Linked DNA regions of Arabidopsis thaliana. The protein of the gene in region 1 interacts with the protein of each later gene in a pairwise test. Each region holds a gene or a part of one and is shown in the gene's direction. Other genes may lie near its edges. The genes, in order: APEM9 and PEX6.

Region 1 (4,657 bases):
ACAATCCGCAATGGATAAACTCGTCGAGAGGATCAAATCAGAAGCTAAAGACAACGACGGTCTTGTTTGGGTCCTAAGAAACGCAAGATTCGCTGCGTTTTGTATTCTTTTGGAGATGTGTTTTGGAATCGAAATGGATGAAGAATCGATATTGAATATGGATCAAGTGATGAAGAAAGTGTTGATCACACTCAATCCAAGACTCGATGATTATCTCCCGATTCTTGCTCCGTTTTATTCCAAGGAGAGAGCAAGAGCTCTCGAGGTTCGTTGTGAACAAGTTGATTTCATCGTTAAACTCATCGAGAGACGACGGAGAGCGATTCAGAAGCCGGGGACTGATAAAACGGCGTCGTCTTTTTCTTATCTTGATACACTCTTTGACCTTAAAACCGAAGGTCGTATAACGACGCCGTCTAATGAAGAGCTTGTGTCGCTCTGCTCTGAGTTTCTTAACGGTGGTACGGATACGACGGGGACGGCGATCGAGTGGGGTATAGCGCAACTGATTGTGAATCCTGAGATTCAATCTCGGCTCTACGATGAGATTAAATCAACGGTTGGAGATCGTGAGGTTGAGGAAAAAGATGTGGATAAAATGGTCTTTTTACAAGCCGTTGTTAAGGAGATTTTACGGAAACATCCTCCGACATACTTTACGTTGACTCATTCCGTCACGGAGCCGACGACGGTCGCCGGTTACGATGTTCCCGTTGGGATTAACGTTGAGTTTTATCTTCCGGGAATAAATGAGGATCCAAAGCTTTGGTCTGATCCGAAGAAATTTAACCCGGATCGGTTTATTTCGGGTAAGGAGGAAGCGGACATAACCGGTGTAACCGGAGTTAAAATGATGCCGTTCGGTATTGGCCGTCGGATCTGTCCGGGGCTAGCGATGGCGACCGTACACGTGCATTTGATGCTAGCGAAGATGGTTCAAGAGTTTGAGTGGAGCGCTTATCCGCCGGAAAGTGAAATTGATTTCGCCGGGAAATTGGAGTTTACGGTGGTAATGAAGAAACCGTTGAGAGCCATGGTTAAGCCAAGGGTCTAAATTTGTTTAATTATGAAAACGATGTGTGCTTATATATTAAAGAAGGAACCTATACTCTTGAAATTTGTCAAGTGCTTTGTGAATTTCTAGTAAAAGATTTCATTTATTGTCAAAACACATCAATAAATGATTTTGCTTTTTTTTTTTTTTTTCAATGTAAAACTGAGCTACCTTGAGATTGTGCTTAACACTAATAATTTCGTACATACACCGAAAGTAGGGCCAAGTAGCTATAAAGAGAAGAGACATGTCGATGTCAAAAATGAAAAAGACATGAATGTGATGCTGGACTTTCATTGAGCCGCAAAAGTTAGCTCAGATTTTAACTTGTTAACTAATCTTGTTGCATGTTCATGAATCATTGAATGTTTGAAATAACAGTTCACGCAATGTATCACTGTTCTACTTCACTTTTAATGCGAAACTAATGGCCCATTAACAACCAGAATAATGCTAATCATCATTTTTGGGCTTAGCTTGCTTTGATTAGATTTGTGAAGGAGAAGCCCATTATATTGGCCCAATAGCAAATACCCAATTAATTCCTCTCCCTCGCTTCTTCCTCGTTCTTCATTCGAGCAGAATCAATCTCATCGCTCTGTTGTGTCTAATTGAAGCTTTGGATAAGCTTCTTCCAATACCTCTACAATGGAGGCAACTGATATTTGGGGAGAAATTGAACGTTCTGAGAGGTATTCCTGAGAATTTGCTTAAATTTTAATTTTTCATGCTTGCGAATTTTGGTTCCGTACTTGGCCATGTGTATAAGGAGAAGTCAAAATTTTCTCAGAATTAGTTATCACGATAATTATCTATCCGGCTTTGATTCAGTCATGTATAGAGTTTGTAGAAAAACGATTCATCACAGACTTGACAAGAAACAAGTTCAAATGAAATTGCTTATGATGATGTCCACTCAAATTTATCTCATACTTGTAAAAATTATCTGTTTTCAAGTTGAGAAATTGGCTCAGTACCAATTTCATTACTCATTTTTTTTTTTGTTGGATGTGTATAGTTACCTAGTGTGCTCTATGTATGAAGAGGCAGAGTCATTATCTTCCTCTATACTGAAAAGAATATTTGGCAACATTGATGTTTTATCCGACGAAGCTTCTCAAGGTGATCATCAATTTCATGATATGTTGGAATCTGCTGGTATGGTCTTAGTTCAATCCTTGCATGGAATCGGCAGGTATATTTCATTTACTGTATTCAGATGTTATAACATGAGTAGTTCTTTTGCCTCTTACTTCTGTTTGGAATTGGATGCTCTAAAGAAACTTTAGAGTCTTGGACGCTTGTTGTAGTTTTGGCTATGTGATAGTTTTTGCCAACAAATGCCTTTTTCATGCAGGACAGTTGAGATTGTAAATGAGTTAAGAGATGTGTTTGGAGAAGTTGCAGCTATTCCTGTTCAAGTTCTTCTTACTGGGTATTGTTCTTGTTCTAAATCTTTCAAAGTATTACAGCTTAAGATGCTTTAAAAGGAGAATATTTGGTTCTTTTTGCAGTTTATTTTTCAAAACTAGGAGTAAAATACATTCATTTTATTTGCTAACTTTTTCTTCTTAAGGGGAGTACAATAACATTCATTTTATTTGCAAACTTTTTCTTCTTAAGGGGAGTACAATACTGCTCTCTGGATGCATTAGCATAGACAAAAGTCACAGAACAAGATTGTTGAAATCTAGTTTATTGATCTTCTTCCCTTTTTTTCCCTTTTAGAGTATGCCTTCAAATATCAAATGGTTCCTATTTGGGTGTACGTGATATTCTGGAAGAGTTCTTTAGAATATGGGTTTACAAGGACAACCACTATATCCTAAATGATGCTGGAGTAAGTACAAAAGGATTCCATGCGAAAAACTGTTTAGATATTGATGAGTACATGGAAGTCGTTGAGCTGTATACTTTTGGAGTTCTTGCAAAATTTTCAAATGACATGGGCCTAGCCATTTCATGGGTTGAAAAAGCTGCATTGCCTGAGGAAAGGCGACAGGTACTAACTATTGAATATTTTCGTGAGTTGTGTATGAAATTGTGAATTTGTTCTAACTATGATGCTACACTAAACTGTCTATTTCAGGGGATTTTGAGAAGATTGCATTCCTTACTTTCTCTCAAAACAGCTAGTTCTTTTGAGGAAAATTCCAAAGATTCTTCTTATGCTGTAGTGAATAACAAGAAGTCGTTGGGTAATGAAAAGAATGATGAGATTGATTCTTTCCTGAAACTATCTAAACAGCATGAACCTTGGTCACTTTGGTCATCCCATCCTCTAAGCCTCAAGGTTGGTAATACCCAATTTAGCATGTCCAGGGGAAAGGTTGCCGTAAGCCTTGTTGGATTAATCATATGTTATGCTTTGAAGAGAAAACGAGCTGCTTTGATAAGGTAAGAATTCTTATAAGCTTGTTTCTATGCTTGAATGATCAGAAGTTGTGTGATGAAAAAATACATTGTGAAACTTGTTTACTTGTTTCAGGATCATTCGCAGGCAAATGGAGTCCACGAGAAAAGCAATAGTAGATTTCTGGAAGCTTGCGTTTTCATACCAAGTGAATCCTCTTGCAGCAATTCAATCCATACCAAGCACCACAACATGAAGATGGATCAAAATTTGGCATTGAAAATGCCTATGTAATACCAAACCAACACTCAAATATTTTCATAATTGGTTCTATTCAAAGTTCAAACTTAGTTTTCCCAAACTTCTCCACTTATATCAAACTGTAATCACTGAACATGATTAAGAACCCGTTGCATATTATGTTTTATCTATATTTCTCCTTGCCTTTTTAATATGGGATAAATCCTCGTATGTTTGGATTTCGAAGAAGCAAGGGATTACAGTTTCAGATTCAAAGCTTACACTTCAAGGGAATTCATCTTCTAATGGTGAAACTATTTACAGAAGCAAAAGCTTCGCCTTTAAGGCTCCTCAGGAGAATTTCACTTACCATGATTTCGAGCTCGGCAAGATCTATGGCGTTGGCTCTTATTCAAAGGATTCATTTTTTCGATTTTTTTTCCTGTAAAAATCACACCTTTTTCTGCAATTTGGTTTGATTCATGAATCAATTCATATCCTGGAGATTTTACGTATGTGTAATTGAATCAGGTTGTTAGGGCGAAGAAGAAGGATAATGGAACTGTGTATGCCTTAAAGATCATGGACAAAAAGTTTATCACCAAAGAGAATAAAACCGCTTATGTCAAATTGGAGAGGATTGTTCTTGATCAACTCGAACATCCCGAGATTGTGAAACTGTTCTTTACTTTTCAAGACACGCAATCACTATGTAGGTAGTTTCTATTCAACTAAAGTCTAGACTAGAACAAAAACTCTAAAACCCTAAACCAGAAAATCTCATCAAAAAGCTTAAGCCTTGTATAGTTGTTGAAAGCTTGCTAAACTCCCATCATCTTCACCATCATCATCGAAAAACCCGAAGTTTTCCTGCAAGTAGCGGCCATATTGATCCGGAGAAATTTGGTCATTAAAATGTGGCTGCTGGCCAATAGAATTCAAGTTGGATCCAGTGACGGTTACATTGTCCCGGGAGTAGGGGTGATATTCACCCGGAGGAATTTGGTCAC
Region 2 (7,416 bases), on another chromosome or scaffold:
TTCAGAGACTGGGATTAAGGTTTCGCAATGATGTAGAACGATGATGGAATTCAAAATACTGGGGAAGATTGTCTCTTTCAAGAAATGTTCTGTTTTGGAAGCGAGATTCTCCTCTGAGAAATCCTCTGTCATCTCTAGATAATGAGATGCACAACGGAGCTTAGCTATATTAAGAAGGTTGATTTCAATGTTGATTCCATAACAGAACTTAGCTGCGAGCTCAAAAGCCTCTGATCCTCCAGGAGCATTTGAGAGACAAACATTCGATATTTTTGGATCCGCGAGAAGCTTTCGGATTTTTCCACTCCGAGACACAAGAGGAAACTGAGAAATCAAAACAACAAGTAACAGTTGAAAACTTTCAATACAACTCAAGAACAGAGGATACTCTGTTTTAATGTTCTTAAATTTGCTTTTTACCTTATGAAGACAGAAACTCGAAGATCCAACTTGAACTGTCAGATCACTAGAGACATCGGATATCGGCCTGCGAAAACAGATAAAAAAACCATCAAGATTAAGCGAAAGGATTTCTGAATTATGAATCAAAAGATCTTTTGTGTACTTGAATTCCATGACTCCGACGCTAAGATTCTAGGATAACGAAACAGTGAATTTATCGCCAAAAATAGTGTTATTTATTCCTGGTTTTAGAGACATTTAAAGATTCACAGGGGACATGTAAAAGATTATGTCTACATCAAGCTTTTTCAAATGAAGACAGAACTAGAACCAGATGAAGTGTTAATGTACGGATATGTTCCACATATATACAAAATAAGATGGAGAAATTATTGGTTTCGATGAACAGTAAGACTTTAACAAGAAATGACTTTTGGCTACAGATTCACATCACATACAAGATTGCTATAATTCTTCAGAAAGAACAAATTTTTTAGTCTTTTTCTGACAGTTTTATCAAAAACAAAGATGTGAATGCAAAAAAAAAAACAAGAATCGTTGTTACTAAATTTGGATTTCATTTGGTGATAATAGTTACAAAACTGGTTTTTGAAACAGAGTATATATTACCATTCAGAGGCATGTCTGATGGTTGAATTCAGACGAAACCCTCTCTTTCCTGTGAAAGCTGGCTTCAATTCTCCGACTGTAACAAGTCCCATCTCTCTCTATTCTCGTAGCAGAAGAAGAAGGAGAAGAAGAAGAAGAAGAAGAAGAAGAAGAAGAGCTCTTGCGGTTGTAATGGCAGTGAATGTACGTAGTTAATGGATGTAAAAAGGTAGAGAAAAAAGATTTGGTTAAAATTAATCTGCTAAGTACGTGTAAAGCTGAGATCATTATTATCACAGATAAAATTAACTTAAGGAATAACAAACAATACATGCAATGTACCTACATTAAGTTGCTAGCTAGTATCCTTTGAGGCATTTCCATCCATTATTATGGGATAAGTGAGGTTTCTTCTATCATCATTATGTCTACTCTCTTGTTTTTCAATTTTCGTTTCAATTTAACAAAAGTTTAAGATGATCAATCATTTAATTTTTCTACATACTGCTTTGTCCACTAAAATTTATATGGAATATATATCTAATGCAAAGTTTTCTAAATATAACGATACATAAAGAATATATTAAGTGTCAAGTGAATAATTTTGGTGAGACCAAGCTTTAAGATCACTCCATGCTTTTAGTTTTTGAAAATGTATATTTGTTAGTGGTCCAAACAAAATTAGGGCCTTTACTTGCTTTGGTTAGAAAAATAGAAAAGCAGTAGTGATTACACCGATTGAGATTTATATTTTAGCTTTAAGGCTGTTTATGTAATGATGTTAGGCTGATCGAAAATTCTCGAGCCCCTCGAAACCTATAATTTGTTTTTTTAAAATATTTATGCTAATTATGATTCCAGGTTAATTTTACTAAACAGATTATAGTAAAACTTTGATTAGGAGGAACAAATAGTACAAAAAAACAATAATCAGAAAATATAATAATATAAATACGAAAAAATCCTTAAGTGGGGCCAGTACCATCTGATCCTCTTCAGTCTTCATCGGTTCGCGTACTGTGAATTTTCTTCAACGGAACTTGAATCTTCTGATGGAAAATTAGGGTTTTTGTTTTTATACTTTTTTTCTGACTCTTTTGAGTTTTGAGTAATTGGGAATTCGATTTGATTCCGTTGCAATGGTGGAGAGACGGAATCCTCTGGTTCTATCATCCACAAGAAGTACTCTCCGTTCAGTGCTCAATTCGTCACAACCCAGCTCTGCCGACGGCGACCGAGTTCTGAATAAAGACGGTGACTTGTTACGAGGGAACGCTAGGTTGTCTGCGGGCATTCTCCGGTGGCGGAAGGACGGAGAAAATGTTTCCGATGCAAAATTGGATTCTTTAGATGACTCTGCATTGGTTGGACTCTCCACTCAATTGCTTAAGAGACTATCTATCAACTCTGGTTCTTTGGTATGTCCTTCTCATCTTGTTCAGTCAACAAAGCTGGATCTTTTCTGGATAATTTTGTTGCTTTTGATGTTAACAATTGAGTTTTTAAAATGCAAGGTTGTTGTCAAGAACATTGAGATAGGCATTCAAAGGGTTGCGCAAGTTGTTGTACTTGATCCTCCCAAGACGACGCTGGAAGATGCATCTCTCACTCAAGTACCTGTTTCGGACTCTCTTCATACGATGCTTGTCTTTCCCACTTATGATTTGATGGGCCAGCAGTTATTAGATCAAGAGGTTGCTTACTTGTCCCCAATGTTAGCTTTTAATCTTAGCTTGCACATATCTTGCCTGAAATCCCTCGTACATCGAGGGAACGGGGTCTTAGAGAAGTATTTTGAAGCTAAGTGTGATGAGGAGTTTATCGGAAAATCTGCAGAAGATGGGTCGAAGATTGGTTTGGATTTGGAACCCGTGTCCCAAGTTCCAGGCTATGCATCACATCTGAGAGTTTCTTTTGTTAAAATCCCAGAGTGTGGTACCATCCCATCCCTGAAAGTCAATTCGTCATTTGAAGCTGAAGAGCGACAAGGGTTAATAGATTCTGCATTACAGAAGTATTTTGGAACTGATAGACAGCTATCAAGAGGCGATATATTTCGCATTTACATTGACTGGAATTGTGGTTCAAGCATTTGTAATCCATGTAGTCAAAGGTTGTGCTCCGAAAGCGACGACTATATATATTTTAAGGTAATATTGGTTTTCATTTTTGCCAGAAAAATGCTCATTTTGGCCAGAGCTTACTGAAAACTTAGTTCATCTGCTCAGGTTATTGCGATGGAACCTTCTAATGAGAGGTTTCTTCGAGTGAATCACTCCCAAACCGCCCTTGTCCTTGGAGGAACTGTATCTTCTGGTCTTCCACCAGATTTACTGGTGTATAGATCAAAGGTTCCTATGCCATTGCAGGAGGAGACAGTAAATATTTTGGCATCGGTGCTTTCACCACCTCTCTGCCCATCAGCACTCGCCTCAAAACTCAGGGTTGCTGTTTTACTGCATGGTATACCAGGTACATTTGCTTCGGTTTCATCAAGAAAATACTTCACTTTCATATATGTTCTTAAGGGTTAAACTATTTCTGGAAACAATGTTAAGGAAAGACTAGTAAGAGACTATGTTTCTGTGTTTACAGATTATGGTAATTTGGGAGAAGTCATAATTCGACCTTTATGCTCTATGCATATAACTGAATCACGTGCTAATAGCTTTTTGTATCTATTGCTTGTTTAAGGGTGTGGGAAGAGAACTGTTGTTAAATATGTTGCTAGGAGGTTGGGGCTGCATGTAGTTGAATTTAGCTGCCACAGTTTATTAGCATCATCTGAGAGGAAAACATCTACTGCTTTGGCCCAGACTTTTAATATGGCACGAAGGTAAAATGGTATACTTTTTTTCTTTTCTTTCATGTATTCATTATGAACTGCATTCAGTAAATGGCCGTGTTTTAATGAAGTGCAAAATTACTTACATTTTTGTAAATATTGAGCTCTTCTTTCTGGAATAGTATTTTTATCCACAACTTGGTGAATGCCTTGTTTTCATTGTCACAGGTATTCACCAACGATACTTTTGCTTCGCCATTTCGATGTTTTTAAAAATCTGGGCTCTCAGGATGGTTCACTGGGTGACCGAGTTGGTGTGTCCTTTGAGATTGCATCGGTTATTAGGGAACTCACTGAGCCAGTTTCTAATGGGGACAGTTCCATGGAAGAAAAATCGAATAGCAATTTCGTAAGATTTTCATTTCTTTCCTTGGTTCTCCATTGCGCGTTGCACAGTTTCACTTAAGTTCACTTTTCCGTTTTCCAAATCGTTGTCGCATAATCCATTTTAGCTAAGCTCTCAAACAACTCATGATGGTTTTAGACCTCGTACTCTATAAAGTAAAGAAAAGAGAAAATATTGCTCTTCGAAACCCTTTTCCATGATGCTTTATCTGTATATGTGCTAATGCAGTCTGAAAATGAAGTTGGAAAGTTTAGGGGACATCAAGTGCTGCTAATCGCATCTGCTGAAAGTACTGAGGGTATCTCTCCAACAATCAGGCGTTGCTTTAGCCATGAAATACGTATGGGTTCTTTGAATGACGAACAGAGATCTGAAATGCTGTCTCAGTCCCTCCAAGGCGTTTCTCAATTCCTTAATGTATGTGAGTACAATGCTCCAAAACTTCAAGTATTTGTTTTATGATATAATTTGAACTAAATTAAATTACCTCTCATTGAAATCTTAGAGATACTAGATCCATTTATTCTTCCATTTTCAAACTAAAGTTAACAACTTCAGGCTTGATGGATAGATATTTTCACATTGTAGATTAGCTCAGATGAATTTATGAAAGGATTGGTGGGACAGACTTCTGGCTTCCTTCCCCGGGACTTGCAAGCTCTTGTAGCTGATGCTGGTGCCAACTTATACATCAGTCAAGAGTCCGAGACCAAGAAAATTAACTCTCTGTCAGATGATCTTCATGGAGTTGATATACACCAGGCAAGCCAAATAGATAACAGCACTGAGAAATTAACAGCTAAGGAAGACTTTACCAAAGCTTTGGATCGATCAAAGAAGAGAAATGCATCAGCCCTTGGTGCTCCTAAGGTAACATTCACAGTTTTCTTGCTGTGGTGTTTTCTCGTTTGTTTGTCTATTTATGAGACAAGTTTGCATATTTTTTTGTTACTGGAGATGCACATAACTTAAAGGTTTATTTGTATTCGTAGGTTCCAAATGTGAAATGGGATGATGTTGGTGGGCTTGAGGATGTGAAGACATCGATATTGGACACAGTTCAACTACCTCTCCTGCATAAAGATTTATTTTCGTCCGGATTGCGTAAACGTTCTGGTGTACTTCTCTATGGCCCTCCAGGAACAGGGAAAGTAAGTAAGCCATTTTTTCTTTCACTTTTAGCATCTCTTAATAGTCTGTTTTTTGGCAGTTATATTTTTGAGTTTTTGAATTAAATTTACAGACTTTACTGGCAAAAGCTGTGGCGACAGAGTGCTCCTTAAATTTCCTCAGTGTAAAGGGTCCAGAATTAATCAACATGTATATTGGAGAGTCAGAGAAAAATGTTCGAGATATATTTGAAAAGGTAAGTTATATTTCTTCTTCCCTAGGAGAAGCATATTGAGTCTTTGGTTCTGATTCTTAAACTAGTGTGTTTTCTTCAATTGCAGGCAAGGTCAGCGCGACCTTGTGTGATCTTCTTTGATGAGCTTGATTCTCTTGCTCCAGCTCGAGGTGCTTCTGGTGATTCTGGAGGAGTCATGGATCGAGTGGTATCTCAGATGCTTGCAGAGATCGATGGACTCAGCGACTCTTCCCAGGATCTGTTTATTATAGGAGCAAGCAACAGACCTGACTTGATTGATCCAGCTCTTTTACGGCCTGGCAGATTCGACAAACTTCTATATGTTGGAGTCAACGCTGATGCGTCTTACAGGGAAAGGTTAGGCATTTAAACAATCAAAAGCATGTCCAAAGACAAAAAAAATTAGAAGCTTCCTGATTCTTGTTTTTGACAGGGTACTTAAAGCACTGACTCGGAAATTTAAGTTAAGCGAAGATGTATCTCTTTATTCAGTAGCAAAGAAGTGTCCCTCTACATTCACCGGCGCTGATATGTACGCCTTGTGTGCTGATGCTTGGTTTCAGGCAGCTAAGCGAAAGGTGAGAGGGATAGGGTTGAAATTTAAGACTATATAAGTCTCTGTAAAAGCTTTTATTGAAATCGCTTTGTATCTGCATACTTGGCAAATGCAGGTGTCAAAATCGGATTCAGGGGATATGCCTACAGAAGAAGATGATCCCGATTCAGTCGTTGTAGAGTATGTGGATTTTATAAAGGTTAAAACTCTTTTCCTTCATCTACTCATCAAAAAGAGTTGCCATTTTCATGGTTGAGTAGAAATGTTAATTTGTTATGGTTCGGTTTTATCAGTCGAGAGTTATAATAGTTTCCCACTTTGTCTTCTTTGTAGGCAATGGATCAGCTCTCGCCATCACTCTCCATAACTGAGCTTAAGAAGTATGAGATGCTTCGAGATCAATTTCAAGGCCGTTCGAGCTAAACCCCTCTCAGTACATAAAAATTAGCTTATAATGAAGACATTTCATATTTTTTTCCCAGACTATTTTCTCTGAACAGTTCTGTTGATTTGGTTAGTCAATTGATAGTAAAATTAAAGAATCAATAATGTAAAATAATTTTCTTGGTTTGAATTACCTTTGATTGGTTACGCACAAGTGATTCTTCGCTTCCATAGTTCCATGTAATAATATAACACACAAGTGAAGCAGATTATTCAATGGTAAAAGGTTTTCTTAAAAAAATTTCCACAACGGTTCATAAAAGAATTCTGTTTTTGGTTTGGGTAGGAAATAAAATCATCAGTTTGTTATATTAGGTTTGTGTTTTATATTATCTGTTTGATTATGGTGTTGTTAGTAATTTCAGAATATTTTCTCCAAACAATTATTTCAATTGGCATTCCAAAAATAGCGTTTTTGTTTTCCACACGTGACTAAATTCCATTAATTACGTGAAGCATAGAATCCATATGGCGAAAGTTTTTTAAATTACAGTAAAAATTTTTATGATTAAGGAGATTTTACTTGCAAAAAAAAGACAAATCTTTGAAGACTGAAATGACGAACTTGACCACTATGACATCACTTGTCACGTGGGATTTGCTTTGTTTGGGCGAGCTGGTCCGAAATCAATTTTTTTTTTTAGGAAATTATTTTTGTTGAGTTAATTTTTTTTCCTCTTTTTCGTTTGTTCGAGAAAACAGAGAATGAGGAATCAAAAAACGGAATTTTGAATTTGCAACGTGAGGAACCTCCTCTGTCGTTTCGATCTTCAAGTTTTTTTTTAAAGCTTTCTCTCTTCAAAGCTCTTCACGTGAGCTCTCCCAAATCTGGGCGTTATTCGCTTTCT

The links.
Region 2: the proteins of APEM9 (region 1) and PEX6 interact in a two-hybrid assay, tested with the Arabidopsis thaliana proteins (one study listed by BioGRID).

The regions. Positions count from the first base shown.
Region 1 is NC_003074.8:3,302,644-3,307,300, forward strand, and holds APEM9 (3-phosphoinositide-dependent protein kinase-1), read left to right. Parts: upstream 1-1,581; 5' UTR 1,582-1,702; coding exon 1,703-1,746; intron 1,747-2,072; coding exon 2,073-2,249; exon of another isoform or gene 2,250-2,394; coding exon of another isoform or gene 2,395-2,411; coding exon 2,412-2,489; intron 2,490-2,782; coding exon 2,783-3,056; intron 3,057-3,143; coding exon 3,144-3,451; intron 3,452-3,542; coding exon 3,543-3,663; 3' UTR 3,664-3,861; downstream 3,862-4,657. Other genes in the region: CYP77A6 (cytochrome P450, family 77, subfamily A, polypeptide 6), read left to right, coding at 1-1,054; AT3G10580 (Homeodomain-like superfamily protein), read right to left, coding at 4,440-4,657. UniProt on the Arabidopsis thaliana protein: Involved in peroxisome biogenesis and matrix protein import. Required for pollen maturation and in vivo germination via its role in peroxisomal function, which partially involves jasmonic acid biosynthesis.
Region 2 is NC_003070.9:687,188-694,603, reverse strand, and holds PEX6 (peroxin 6), read left to right. Parts: upstream 1-1,943; 5' UTR 1,944-2,150; coding exon 2,151-2,429; intron 2,430-2,525; coding exon 2,526-3,161; intron 3,162-3,239; coding exon 3,240-3,483; intron 3,484-3,705; coding exon 3,706-3,847; intron 3,848-4,024; coding exon 4,025-4,205; intron 4,206-4,430; coding exon 4,431-4,619; intron 4,620-4,790; coding exon 4,791-5,072; intron 5,073-5,194; coding exon 5,195-5,353; intron 5,354-5,445; coding exon 5,446-5,568; intron 5,569-5,653; coding exon 5,654-5,925; intron 5,926-6,001; coding exon 6,002-6,146; intron 6,147-6,239; coding exon 6,240-6,323; intron 6,324-6,457; coding exon 6,458-6,547; 3' UTR 6,548-6,809; downstream 6,810-7,416. Other genes in the region: AT1G03010 (Phototropic-responsive NPH3 family protein), read right to left, coding at 1-324, 421-487, 1,033-1,124. UniProt on the Arabidopsis thaliana protein: Component of the PEX1-PEX6 AAA ATPase complex, a protein dislocase complex that mediates the ATP-dependent extraction of the PEX5 receptor from peroxisomal membranes, an essential step for PEX5 recycling.